2 linked regions of the Oryctolagus cuniculus genome follow. The protein of the gene in region 1 interacts with the protein of each later gene in a pairwise test. Links are inferred from orthologs where the notes say so. Each region holds a gene or a part of one and is shown on either strand. Other genes may lie near its edges.

Evidence for each region.
Region 2: the proteins of ZBTB9 (region 1) and LASP1 interact in binary tests that used the Homo sapiens proteins (3 or more experiments, as listed by UniProt). The two-hybrid records come from large-scale screens. The link is inferred for Oryctolagus cuniculus from reciprocal best matches to the Homo sapiens genes ZBTB9 and LASP1.

The regions. Positions count from the first base shown.
Region 1 is NC_091436.1:135,694,869-135,700,661, forward strand, and holds ZBTB9 (zinc finger and BTB domain-containing protein 9), read right to left. Parts: upstream 3,402-5,793; 5' UTR 3,116-3,401; intron 2,932-3,115; 5' UTR 2,860-2,931; coding exon 1,432-2,859; 3' UTR 133-1,431; downstream 1-132. UniProt on the Homo sapiens protein: May be involved in transcriptional regulation.
Region 2 is NC_091448.1:23,293,642-23,298,994, reverse strand, and holds part of LASP1 (LIM and SH3 domain protein 1), read left to right. Parts: intron 1-883; coding exon 884-991; intron 992-5,353. UniProt on the Homo sapiens protein: Plays an important role in the regulation of dynamic actin-based, cytoskeletal activities.

The DNA.
Region 1 (5,793 bases):
CACTTTGGTAGTAGCTGTGAAGTTTTCCAGGGCAGAGTATTAACCAGGGTCTGATACAGTGTTTTGCACTAGATGTTTGTAGAATAAGCAAAGCAACACCCGAATATACGTAACACAGGAAGTCAGGGAATATTATAGGTAAAGATCACGTGAACCAACCCCTTTAATAAAATACAGAGAACCAGTTAGGAAGTGCACATCACCCACCCCAGCATAACAAATGGTAACAGTTCTGAAAAGTAAACTAGGCTGCTTGCAGTTACTCAGAGGAAGGTCAAGGCCTAAATCCAGAGCAATGTTCTCTCCACCAGTGTGAAATCATCCAACTCTTCTCTCATCAAGAAAAGCTAGTACAAAAATGCATCCAAGTCTAGCTCTGTTCTCACACAAATTATTCAATCTAGCCCACTGTCAGTTTAGATTTCAGGGCAGAGTTTATTAGAAGAAATTAGGCAATTAGGAAACTGTAGATTCCCCTGCCCCTAATTCCGCTATCTACCCCTATACCTCTCCACAGAGGAGCTGTCTCTGTCACACGTGGGTGGGATGCAGAAGCAGGCGGCGTATGGTCCCACTGTGCAGTTCCTCTCTAGTGTTCAGCATGCGCTGTCTCGGCCCTGAGCTCCTCCGACCATGGCAACTTGTTCAGAGAGCAGTGGTGCTACCCTGAGAGCATGTTAGGTCAGCTGCCATCTCCTGAGTTCAATGATCACATTCCAGTCACTGTGATCAAAATACGAGTTATTAGTTGTGGTCAAAGGTAGACAAGAGGCACTAATTGTTGAGGGAATACCCTCCATCAAAGAGGGTTCTAGGAATGACATGTGGAATGCTCGGCTTAAAGTGCTCACTACAACGTTAAAAAAAAAGTGTTGGAAAGGTGCCTACTGGTGAGAAAGCTAGGTACAATCTGAGGGAACAAAGCGTACATAAGAACTCTGCTCACATCATTCCAGCCATGATGAGGGAGAGCACAGTTTAGAGCTGAGTCTCAATTACTAGACCTCTGAATGAAACATATCCCTGACTGGAGACCAGCTCTTTAACTCCTCATGGAGACCGAACAAAACACTGACCACTATGTACGTCTTTTTGCTGTTCATTGTTCCCTCACCAAATAACCTTCCAATCTGAAACCTGGTTTCCTCCATGGATACTACCACTATAAAAAAGTCTACTATGGGCAAGTGAACAGTTTAAGAATGGTCTACAAACTATTTCCTGTAGGGTGGTTAGCAAAAACCTGAGGTGAGATGAGAAATCTGAGTTTCCAAATCTGGCAGACTGAGGCCTACACCCAAGGACAAGAGATCCGTAACATATTTATCCACTGGGCATGATTATGAGATCCAGGTCTGGGGTAGTAAAGGGCACGAATCCATCAGCAGCAATGGCTACCTTCTCCTACAAGTTGGTGGATGGCCTCAGCTGTCACTTGTAAGTCCAGTGGGCAGTGGCCCAACCCTGGCCCTTACACAGGTCTCGGTGACGAAGGAAACAGGCGTGGACCCGGAACCGACGGCCACAGTGGGGACAAGCATGCAGGGCTCCGGCATGGGTCTTCATGTGCTCTGTCAGATGGTGCTTCAGTTTGAAGCGCTTATTGCAGATACCACAGCCAAAAGGGCGAAGGCTGAAGGTCAGCATGATGTGGCGGTCACGCTTTGGCTTCACTGCAAAGCGCTTCCCACACAAGCAACCAAAGCGTTTTCCATCCGCAGGGGGTGCCCCGCCTAGCTTCACGGGACCGTGCACAGCCTGCCCAGCTCCCCCGGGCCCTCCACCGCTGGACAGAATTTCATTGCCATGAAGATCCACTGGTTTCCAGGATGGACCGCCTCCCCCAGATGCTGCCCCTACGCCTGAGGGCAACAAGAACCCCAGCTCCCCACTCCCCTCCGGGTCCCCTCCAGGAAATGCTTTGGTCTCCTCCTTTATTCCTCCAGACTGGGTTCCACCTCCTGACAACTCCTCCTTAGACTCAAAGGGTTCCTGCTTAATGTAGAAGATTTTAGGGGGCACTGCAGCAGGAGCGGCAGGAACCTCAAGTGGTGCATTTTCGCCCTCTGGCAGCCTGCGGGGAGTAGCAGGTACGGGCAAGGCGAGGGATCCGTGAGGACGGGGCAGACTCCCTGATACCCTCTGAGGCTGGGGCGTCTGCGAGAGGGTTGCTGACCCCTGGCCCTCCTCGTCGTCTTCCTCCTCCTCCTCTTCCTCCTCCTCCTCCACCTGAATCTGTAACACCTCTCCCAGTTCACTCCCCTCCCCTCCGATGGGGCTCTCAGTAGATGCAGGTCTCTCGGCAGGAGCGGAGGGCTGTGCTGGGGCCTGGAAAGGGGAAGAGCGAATGCACCAGCCTCCTGGAGAGGATGTGGTGGAAAGAAGTGCATGGTAGGAGGAGGCTCCTCGGGCTGAGATCCCACCACCTGAAGTCTCCAGCTCCTTAAGGATCTCCGAGCACTGGTCTACCACTTGCCACATCTGAAGGCCGCTGGCCACAAGGAGGTGGGCGGGGAGAGCATCCAGTGGCAGGCGGAGGTGCCCTGAATAAATGAGCTGCAGCAGCCCCTCGAAGGCATCGGCTTCGATGACGCTCGGGAGGGTGAGCCGTGGCGCATCGCCCAGAAGCAGCTTGTCGTGGAAGTAGGGAGAGGCGGCAGCCAGCACCGCTTTGTGGGCCCTAAGTTCCCGGCCCTGCACCAGCAGGGACACATCGCAGAACTTTCCCTCCAGTCTGTGGCGGTTCAGGGACTCCAGCAGCGCTGAGCTGTGCTGAGGGAACTCGATCTGGATTGTCCGCGGTGCTGAGCTGCACACTGCGGAGGGGGGCGCGGCAGGCAAAGGCGTCGAGGTCTCCATGGCCTCCTCGGAGATCCCAGAGGGTCGGCAAGAGGAGACGGAGTCTGGGGTGGAACCCACGTGAGAGGAAGGCTGTGGAGCAAAAGAGATGGGGTGCGGGGGTGGGGGGATGTCACACAAGCCCCAGAAAACGGGAACTGTATCTCCGCAAACAAATGCCCCCCTCCCACCTACAAGTAGAAACTCTTCCGGCCAGTGGCTGTGTCTGTATACCAGTCCCGCCCACCAAGAAGACAAAAACAAACAAAACACGAACCCCTGGTTTTAGCTTCCAGGCCTTGTGGAAGATGAGGAGGTCCTTCGGCTACCAGCCTAACCTCACCAGCTCCGGGTCGACTCCCGGCCCGGCGTTCCGTCCCGCTTCGCTTCACTCACTGTGCCCGCAGTGGCCAGCTCCCGGGTAGCCGCAGCCACGGGGATATCACGAGCCCCGGACCCCAGCCGACACGCCCCCGCCGTCACACACGCGGCGAGGCCCTCGCAGCCTCTCTGCAGCTACGGCGCCGTCTCGGGCCGGAAGCCACCCCTCCCCGCCGGACGCCGACGCCGGGAGAGGCGGGGGGGGGGGGGCACAACTGCAGCCAATCGGAATGGGGCGCCCTACAAGCCCTGTGTTGATTGGTTGCCCGGGCGAGAAGGGGCGGGCCGGCGGCGCCAGGGCGCGAGCGGGTGGGGGCGTCTCGGGGAGCTGCGAAGGGGAAGCCGTGGCTCGGGAGACCGCAGCCCGGAGAGGGCGGGCCGCCAGCCGCCCGCAGCGCCGAGGTGCTGGGGGACGAGGTGAAGTGGCACCTTGTGTGCCCCCGGCCCGGCGAGCAAGGCGTTGCCGTCCTCGCCGTCCGGGCCGGGGAAACGGCAGTGCTGGGTCTGGAACTCAGATTAGCTGAGGCGCCGAGTGCTCCCCTGCAGTCCGCACGGAATCGTGCCCTTCACCAATTAAACAAAGCCAGCTTCGTTTCTGGGTTCTCTTATATCCCGTCCTCTTTGCTCCTGGGGGTAAGTGAAGCAAGCGGTGGGTGCCAGTCGGCTGGACTGGGGAAGTCTGGGCCGTACGAACCCCCAGACTGCGTCTCCGCGCGGGGCAGCGCTTCTGTGCGGAGACCGGCATCGGGCAGGGATGTCGGCTTCCCTTCCAGGCTGTCCGCTCCCTCTCAGAAAATTAAAAGTCCTGTCACCCCCAGGCTGAGAAAGTTGGCACAGCGATAAAAGAACAATCTCCGTTTATTAAACATGATTTTTCTGTTTCACCACACACTCCAGAAAAAAAGGAAATGGGGCTGGGAGTGGAGAAAAATGGGCAGCGGTGGGGGATAGAGAAGGCTGGGAGTGGGTTGGGGAGGGAGAACGAGAAAACAAAATAAAACGGGTAGGAAGAGCATCTCCCTACCCTTAAGGTGGCGGGGGGGAGGGGGCCAGGAAGCTCTGTACAGGGGGGTTGCCCCCAGCCCACACACACACACCCCGGATATGTACAGTACAAACCCCAGATAATTACAACAGCCAAAGAGGAGAGGAGGAAGGGGGCAGGAGAGGGGAAGGCTGAGGTGGGGAAAGCAGAGGGAAGGGCACAGGGATAAAATTTCACATATTTACAACTTTTATATAAGTATAAATTTGGCCCCGGCTGGGTGTATGTGTGTAGGGGGATGGGACTGAAGGGGAACTGTCCATACAAAAGAAAGAGGGGAGGAGTCTGGGAAAAGTCTCAATACCAAACGCAAGAAGGGATGAGGGGACAAGGCTGGGTAGGGGACAGCAGTCAGGGAGGAGGGGGTACCAAGGAGGGGCTTCTTCCCTCCCATGGCCTACCCACCCCAAACCCCATCCATCCTACCTCCCCTATCCCGCCAGAGAGCTATGTACAGAGAAACACCGAAAAATTGTGGAGCTGGCGGGAGGGAGAGAGGTGGAGGGAGATTGGGGGGGGGGGAGGATGAGAGGGAAGCCCAGCCCTGTCCTACCTCCCCCAGGGGACAAAGTCATGGAAGGGGAGCCCCCCAATACCCCTCCTCCAACACAGGTCCCCCCACCCTGGGGGAGAGAGACATGGCTTTTCCTAGAGTAAGTTCCCCCCTCCCCCTGGGAGTAGAGACCAAGAGAGAGGGGAGGGGTTGGGGGGAGGGGCTGCATATGTCAGTGTAGGGCAGATCAACAGGTCTGTCCTTCCAACATACGCACCCTCCTAAACCCTACCCCCTCACCCTAACCTCAATTCCACCCCACCCAACACACTGGGGCAGGGGGGGGCATAAGCCCCCTCACCCCGCTCTGGGACCAGCCGAGAGCAGATCAGGTGTGGGAAGAAAGGGAGACAACTCCCGTTCCCCCCTTGCCGCCCCCTCCCTGCCCCGGTGGCCCCCTCCACCCATCGGGTTCTGGGTGGGGAGGGAGTAAATTTAAGAGTGGTGGGAGGAGAAGGAGTTTGTGCGTGCTGAGCCCCCCCAGACGCTCCTGAGAAATCAAGGGGTAATAGGGCCCCCTCACCCGGGGTCCCCTCCCCATAACAAGGGGGGCAGGGGAGGCCAAAATGGGGCGGTGGAGGGGAGTTAGATTGTCAGCTCTGGTTACTGCTAAAAAATCACCCTGAAGTTGAAAGTTTGGAGGTGCCACACCCCCAGGGTGGGGGTGAGGGTCTGTCCCCCAGTGCTCAGGGGAACGATGAGGCAGAGGATGGGGATAGCACCCCGAAGTGAAGGGGTCTGTGTAGGGTAGGCATGTGTCCTGGGGCGAGGGTCCCTGGGGGGGTCAAAGGGGGCAGCACCCCGACAGGAAGGAAAAGAGGGCGCTCTCCCTCCTGGAAATGGTGCGGTGGGGGTGGGGGATCCAGGCCCCCAAGGAGCCATTCAGGGAGGCAATCCTGCTGTCCCTCGGTGCCGTCCAGTCCTGGTGGTTGGTGCTGTTACGGGGTGGGGTGCGTGGGGAAGGAGAAGGTCTGTG
Region 2 (5,353 bases), on another chromosome or scaffold:
TGCTCTGTTCTGTGGGACCCCCAGGCGACCACAGGCTGTTCCTCATGTTGCAAACCCCTTAGTGTCATGGAAGTCCTTGCTGATGTCTGACTCGAGTTTTCCATGGAATTCTCGGAGGAGGAGGGCAGTGGTGGCTCATCGTTCTTCCCTGGAGCCCGTCCCTCCCCTCCCGTGTGGTGGCCTCGGTGTCCAGCCTGCCCGGCTCCCTGGCCTGGGGCCTAGGGCTTTCACTGCCTCCTTTCTGGGCCATCCCCACCCCAGCTCCTGGCAGGTGGGGCCGCGTCCCCTCTTGGGTGAGGCCCGGGCAGGCGTGGGAGCTCTGGGGAGAATGTTCTTCCTGTGAGTTTCCAGGCCTGGGAGCTGGGGTGAAGGGTCAGGGGTCAGGCAGACAAGGGTCAGGGGTCAGGCGGACAAGGGTTTTCATCCTGTCCTGAGCCCTGTGACATGGGCAGGGGCTTTGCCCCGGTGGCTCAGTTTCTTTGTAAAGTGGAATGAACGGTGCGTGCTCACCTACAGCCGCACACAGACAGGCGGGTATTTTAAGAAAAGTTGGTGGAAAGTGGAATTAATGATGTTTGTTTTGGCACAAAATTGTTTTTGAAATCCATGTGTAGTGTTTTCCTGATACCCAATTCTGGGAACTTTCCAAAGACCCTGCATAAATGCGCGCCTGCCACCCAGAATGTTAGTGGCTTGTCACTGTCACTGTCATTTTTATTCTAACGCTTTTCGGCTGAGGCTCCGCTCCGCCTTGGAGCGGGGGATTCCGACCAGGCTCTTTCTCCTGGTCCCTGTCCCTGTCTGCGCCGGCTGCTGCCTCCGAGGGAGCCACAGGCTGGGCCACCTGATTCCTGTGCCTCTTCCCTCCCTCCCCGCCTGCCAGGTGCGCTACAAGGAGGAGTTTGAGAAGAACAAGGGCAGAGGCTTCAGCGTGGTGGCAGACACCCCCGAGCTCCAGAGAATCAAGAAGACCCAGGACCAGATCAGTAACGTAAGCCCCTGGCCCCCTGCCGCCCTTCCTCCTTGCCCCGTCCTGGGCAGGCCTGGCTGGCGGTTGCCTGAGCAGAGGGGAGGGCTTGGGGTTCCCAGGTGTCTTTCTGTGGGTACCTGGGGTTTTCTGGGCCAGCCTCTGCCCATGTGGTGTTTCCCCCATACTTTTGGGGGAGGGGCCCCTACTTTGGGGGGAGGGCACTGTGTACTACGTCACACCCCCCCCCCCGCTTTCTGAAGTGGTTCTGCTTTTCTTCCTGGTGCCGTGGGTGTAAGGCTGGGGGCGGGGTGGCTGCCTCTGGGTGCTGGCTTAGCTGCCATTTCCGCCCTCCCTCGCCTCCTCCCCCACTTCAGCGTGCGCTTCCTTCCTGTGTGAAAACCCCAACTGGGTTTGCCTACTGGCCCCCCACCTCCTGGGCCTGGGATGGCCTGGGACGGTCTGGCTGCTCTGGTTGGGGTGGACACAGGGAGAGGGCGGTAGATCGCTGGGCCCCAGCATCGAGCTCCCTCCCGGGCACCTGTGGCCAGAAAACTAAGCCTCGGTTTCCTGCTTGGCAGAGCCACAGCCCCGCAGCCTGTGTGGCTGTTTGAGGGGAATCTTATTTTGGATGTCGGGGTGGGGGCGGGGTACTACTGCGAGCCACAACTCGGAACACAGGCAAGAGCCTGTGTGGGGTCCTGGGGCACACGCCTATGGCGTGCACCGCAAGCCTGGGCAGGGCCGCCGTGGGCAGGCAGTTGTCTCCGCGTCCACAAGGGAGGACGCTCAGCTGTCCAGTGTCACTCTGGGTGCAAGGACTGGGACAGAGGCTGGCGAGGGCCTGGCTTTCAGGTCGCCCACCTGCTGGGCCCTTCTCCACCACCACCCCTGCCCTGTCCCCCCCCTCCCCCAACCCCGCCTCCGTAGCAGGGTGCTGCTTCTACAGCTTGGCCGAGCCGCCCCGGGAGTGGGCTGTGTGTTTCAGACGCACAGGGCGGCCTGCAGAAACAGTCATGCCCAAGACCGTGGCTTTCAAACTTCGACCTCAGTCTATAATAGGCAATACATGTTCCATCGTGACTCACCAAAAAGGCGCTCATTTATTTTGAGAATCACTTTCATGGCTGAGTACTTCCTACTTGAGCGCTTCTCTGGGTCTGTGAGGATGCTGGGTGCCCACTCACTACCAAGTCGAGTGCAGGTACTCAGCAGAGCTGCCCGGTACCTGGGAGCAGGGAGGTGCTGATGCTCTTTGCCCCAGGCCCTCCCCAGGGTCCCCGAGTGCCTGAGTCCCAGTCTCAGGCTGGCCAGTGAGGAGGGGGCAGATGGCCTTGGCTCCAGGGCTGGAATCCTGGCTCTTGGGCCCCTGGCTTTTCATTGTGAAGGCCTGCTCCCTGTCTGCAACCCCCAGCCCGCTGCACGCTCACCCATTGCTGTAGCCTCTGGGTTTAGGAGAGGGGAGGCCAGCAAGCCCAGGGATCCCTGCCTCCCTTTACGGAAGGCTTCCAGAATATTCCGTCCCAGCCTATTCCACCTGCTCCCCCTCCCCAGTCACTGGAGATGGTAATGACTGAGGAGTAACAAAAACTCCCTGTGGCCCAGAACCTAGGGAGATAAGCATCTTATCAGCAACCAGGGCCACAATTAGCTGGTTGCCCTCTGACCTTGACCTGCTGGCTGCTCTTGCAGCTTTCACTGTGAAGGCTGGCCAAAAAACTGGTTTTAGTGAACCAAGCCAAAAGAGGGCCTCCAAACACCTGCATCACAATCCCCCCCTCAGCAATGCTCCCGACCGACTGACCGACTGGCTGGCCGGCATTTACTGAAAATGCAGACTCCCAGGCCCCCCAAGTCAGCATCTCTGGGAGGGAAGCCCGGGAACCAGCATTTTGCACATCTGGGGTTTCTGTGTTACTTAATGAAGCTTCGGAGCCTAGAAGTCCTCAGAAACTTCTCCAGCCTCTAGGACATGGGTGCTGGTCCTGGCTGTCTTTCAGGACCCCGGGGCACCTCGGGCCACACCCAGACGCATTGCTAAATTGTCGCCACCCCCCCAAAGAGTTTTGGGAAAGGTGATGCTTAGAGCCACACATTTTGTTTTGTATCTGAAGTAGTGTTTCTGTCTGTGGCTTGTGCCTTCCCAGATTAGCACCAGACGGCTTCTGGTGGCTTCTAAAGGTCAGGCCATCTGGCAGTGGGGTGAGGATTTGCTTTCCGGAAGGAATGTGCTGCAGACTGGAGTGTTTTGTGTCTTTTAAACATTTTTTTAGGGACTGGCGCCGTGGTGCAGTGGCTTAAAGCCCCAGCCTACTGCGCTGACATCACAGTTCGAGTCCTAGCTGCTCCGCTTCCGATTCAACTCCCTGCTCACGTGCCTAGGAAAGCGGTAGAAGATGGCCCAAGTCGTTGGGCCTCTGCATCCACATGGGAAGCTCCTGGCTCCTGGCTTCAGATCAGCCCAGCTCTGGCCGTTGTGACCATTTGGGGAGTGAACCAGCAGATGGAAGACCCCTCTCTCTCGCTCTGTCTGTCTCTGTCTCTGTCTCTACCTCTCTCTGTAACTCTGTCTTTCAAATAAAAAAAAGTTTAAAATTTTTTTAAAAATTTAGTTTCATCTTATTTGAAGGGCAGAGAGAGAGACAGATGGAGAACTTACATCTCTTGGTTCACTCCCCAAATACAACAGCCAATGCTGTGCTAGGCCAAGGCCAGGAGCCTAGAACTTAATCCATGTCTTCCACAGAGTGACAGGGGCCCAAGTACTCGGTCCGTCATCACCTGCTGCCCCCCAGGTGCACTGACAGGAAGCCAGATCAGAGGCACAGTAGCCAGGACTCGGACTGGCACTGGCACAGGATGCAGGCATCCAGGTGGTGGTCTAACCCACTCTGCCACAACGCCCGTTTGCAGCACACTTGTACACTAAGCACCTCCGTTTACTTACAAAGCAGCTCAAGAAATAGAACGTTACCATGTCCCTGGCAAATCATTCTCGGAGTGCTGGAAGCAGCTCTCATTGAGCAAGCCCCTAGTGCATACTTACTATCTTATGTAGTTTATCTATATGTATATTGTGTGTATATGTATACATAGTACACATGTATGCATACTGTGTAATTTAATCATGAGGGAGTCAGCTGGGGGAAAATGAGAAGCAGAGAGGTCAAAGTTAAAAAGTGCCAGCTACCATTAGCTACAAAGTTGGTTAATGCCCTGCAGTATGATAAAACCATAAACTCTAAAGCTATCTTTGCTACAGACAGAAATTGTTTCCATGTCAGTCAAAAATAATCAGCGCTTTCTATTCTGTAAGTGAACTGTAGTCTTCTGAGTCTGAGCATAATCGGTGGTAAACAGTTTTATCCCGTGGTCAGCTGGTCCGGAAGTAGAATTGCTGGATCTCAGAGGGTGCGGCTCTTCTGCTTTGTGGGAGAGGGGGAGGGGGAGGAGGAGGGGGAGGGGGAGGGGAAGCTCCTGTCTGCTGGTTCACTGCCCGAATCCTGCAGTGGCTGGGCTGGAATCCTGTCACTGAGCCCTCACCACCGCCTTCCAGGGTCTGCATGGTGGGAAGCTGGCGGCGGGAGCCGAGGTGGGTACTAGACCCAGGCCCTTCACGGGCAGGCATTCTCATTGCTAGGCCAACACCCAGCTCCGACGTGTTCATTTTAGCCATTAAAAAAAAAAAAAAAGATTGATTAATTGATTTGAAAGGCAGAGCAACAGAGAGAGTGAGCGAGCGAGCCTGCCTCTGTCTGCTGATTCATTCCCCCACATGCCCACAATGGCCTGGACTGAGCCAGGCTGAAGCCAGGAGCCAGGAACTCCTCTGTAGATCTCTCATGTGGGTGGCAGAGGCCCAAGGACTCTCGGACTTGGGCTGTCATCTACAGTTTTCCTAGGCACGTTCGCAGGACGCTCGATCAGAAGCGAAGCAGCCGGGACTCCAGCCAGTACCCTGTTGTGGGATATCGGTGTCGCAAGCAGCGGCTTAACCTCCTGTGCCACATGCTATTCTGCATACTGGTGTTTCTTTATGGTTTTACTTAGGTCTTTCTCTGTTACTGATGAAGTTTTCAGTGTTATCAGAGAGAGAGAGAGAGAGAGAGAGAGCCTGGCTGCTAAATTGATTGTTGCATTCAGAGCCTGCCTTCCCTGGCTGGCCGTGACATGGAACCACGTGGGAAGTCACGTGTGCAGCCAGACTTCTGTTTTCCCTTTACAGTCAGGAAGCAGGGCTTCCAGAAAACGGAACATCAGAGACACCAGGCAGTGGAGCTTTGGAGTGGACCCTACCCTGTCATGCTAGGACTTGGGCCAGCTGAGGTGGTGGGGGCAGGGTTGGGGGGATCCTGACATCAGGGCTCCCGAGCCTGCACACACTTG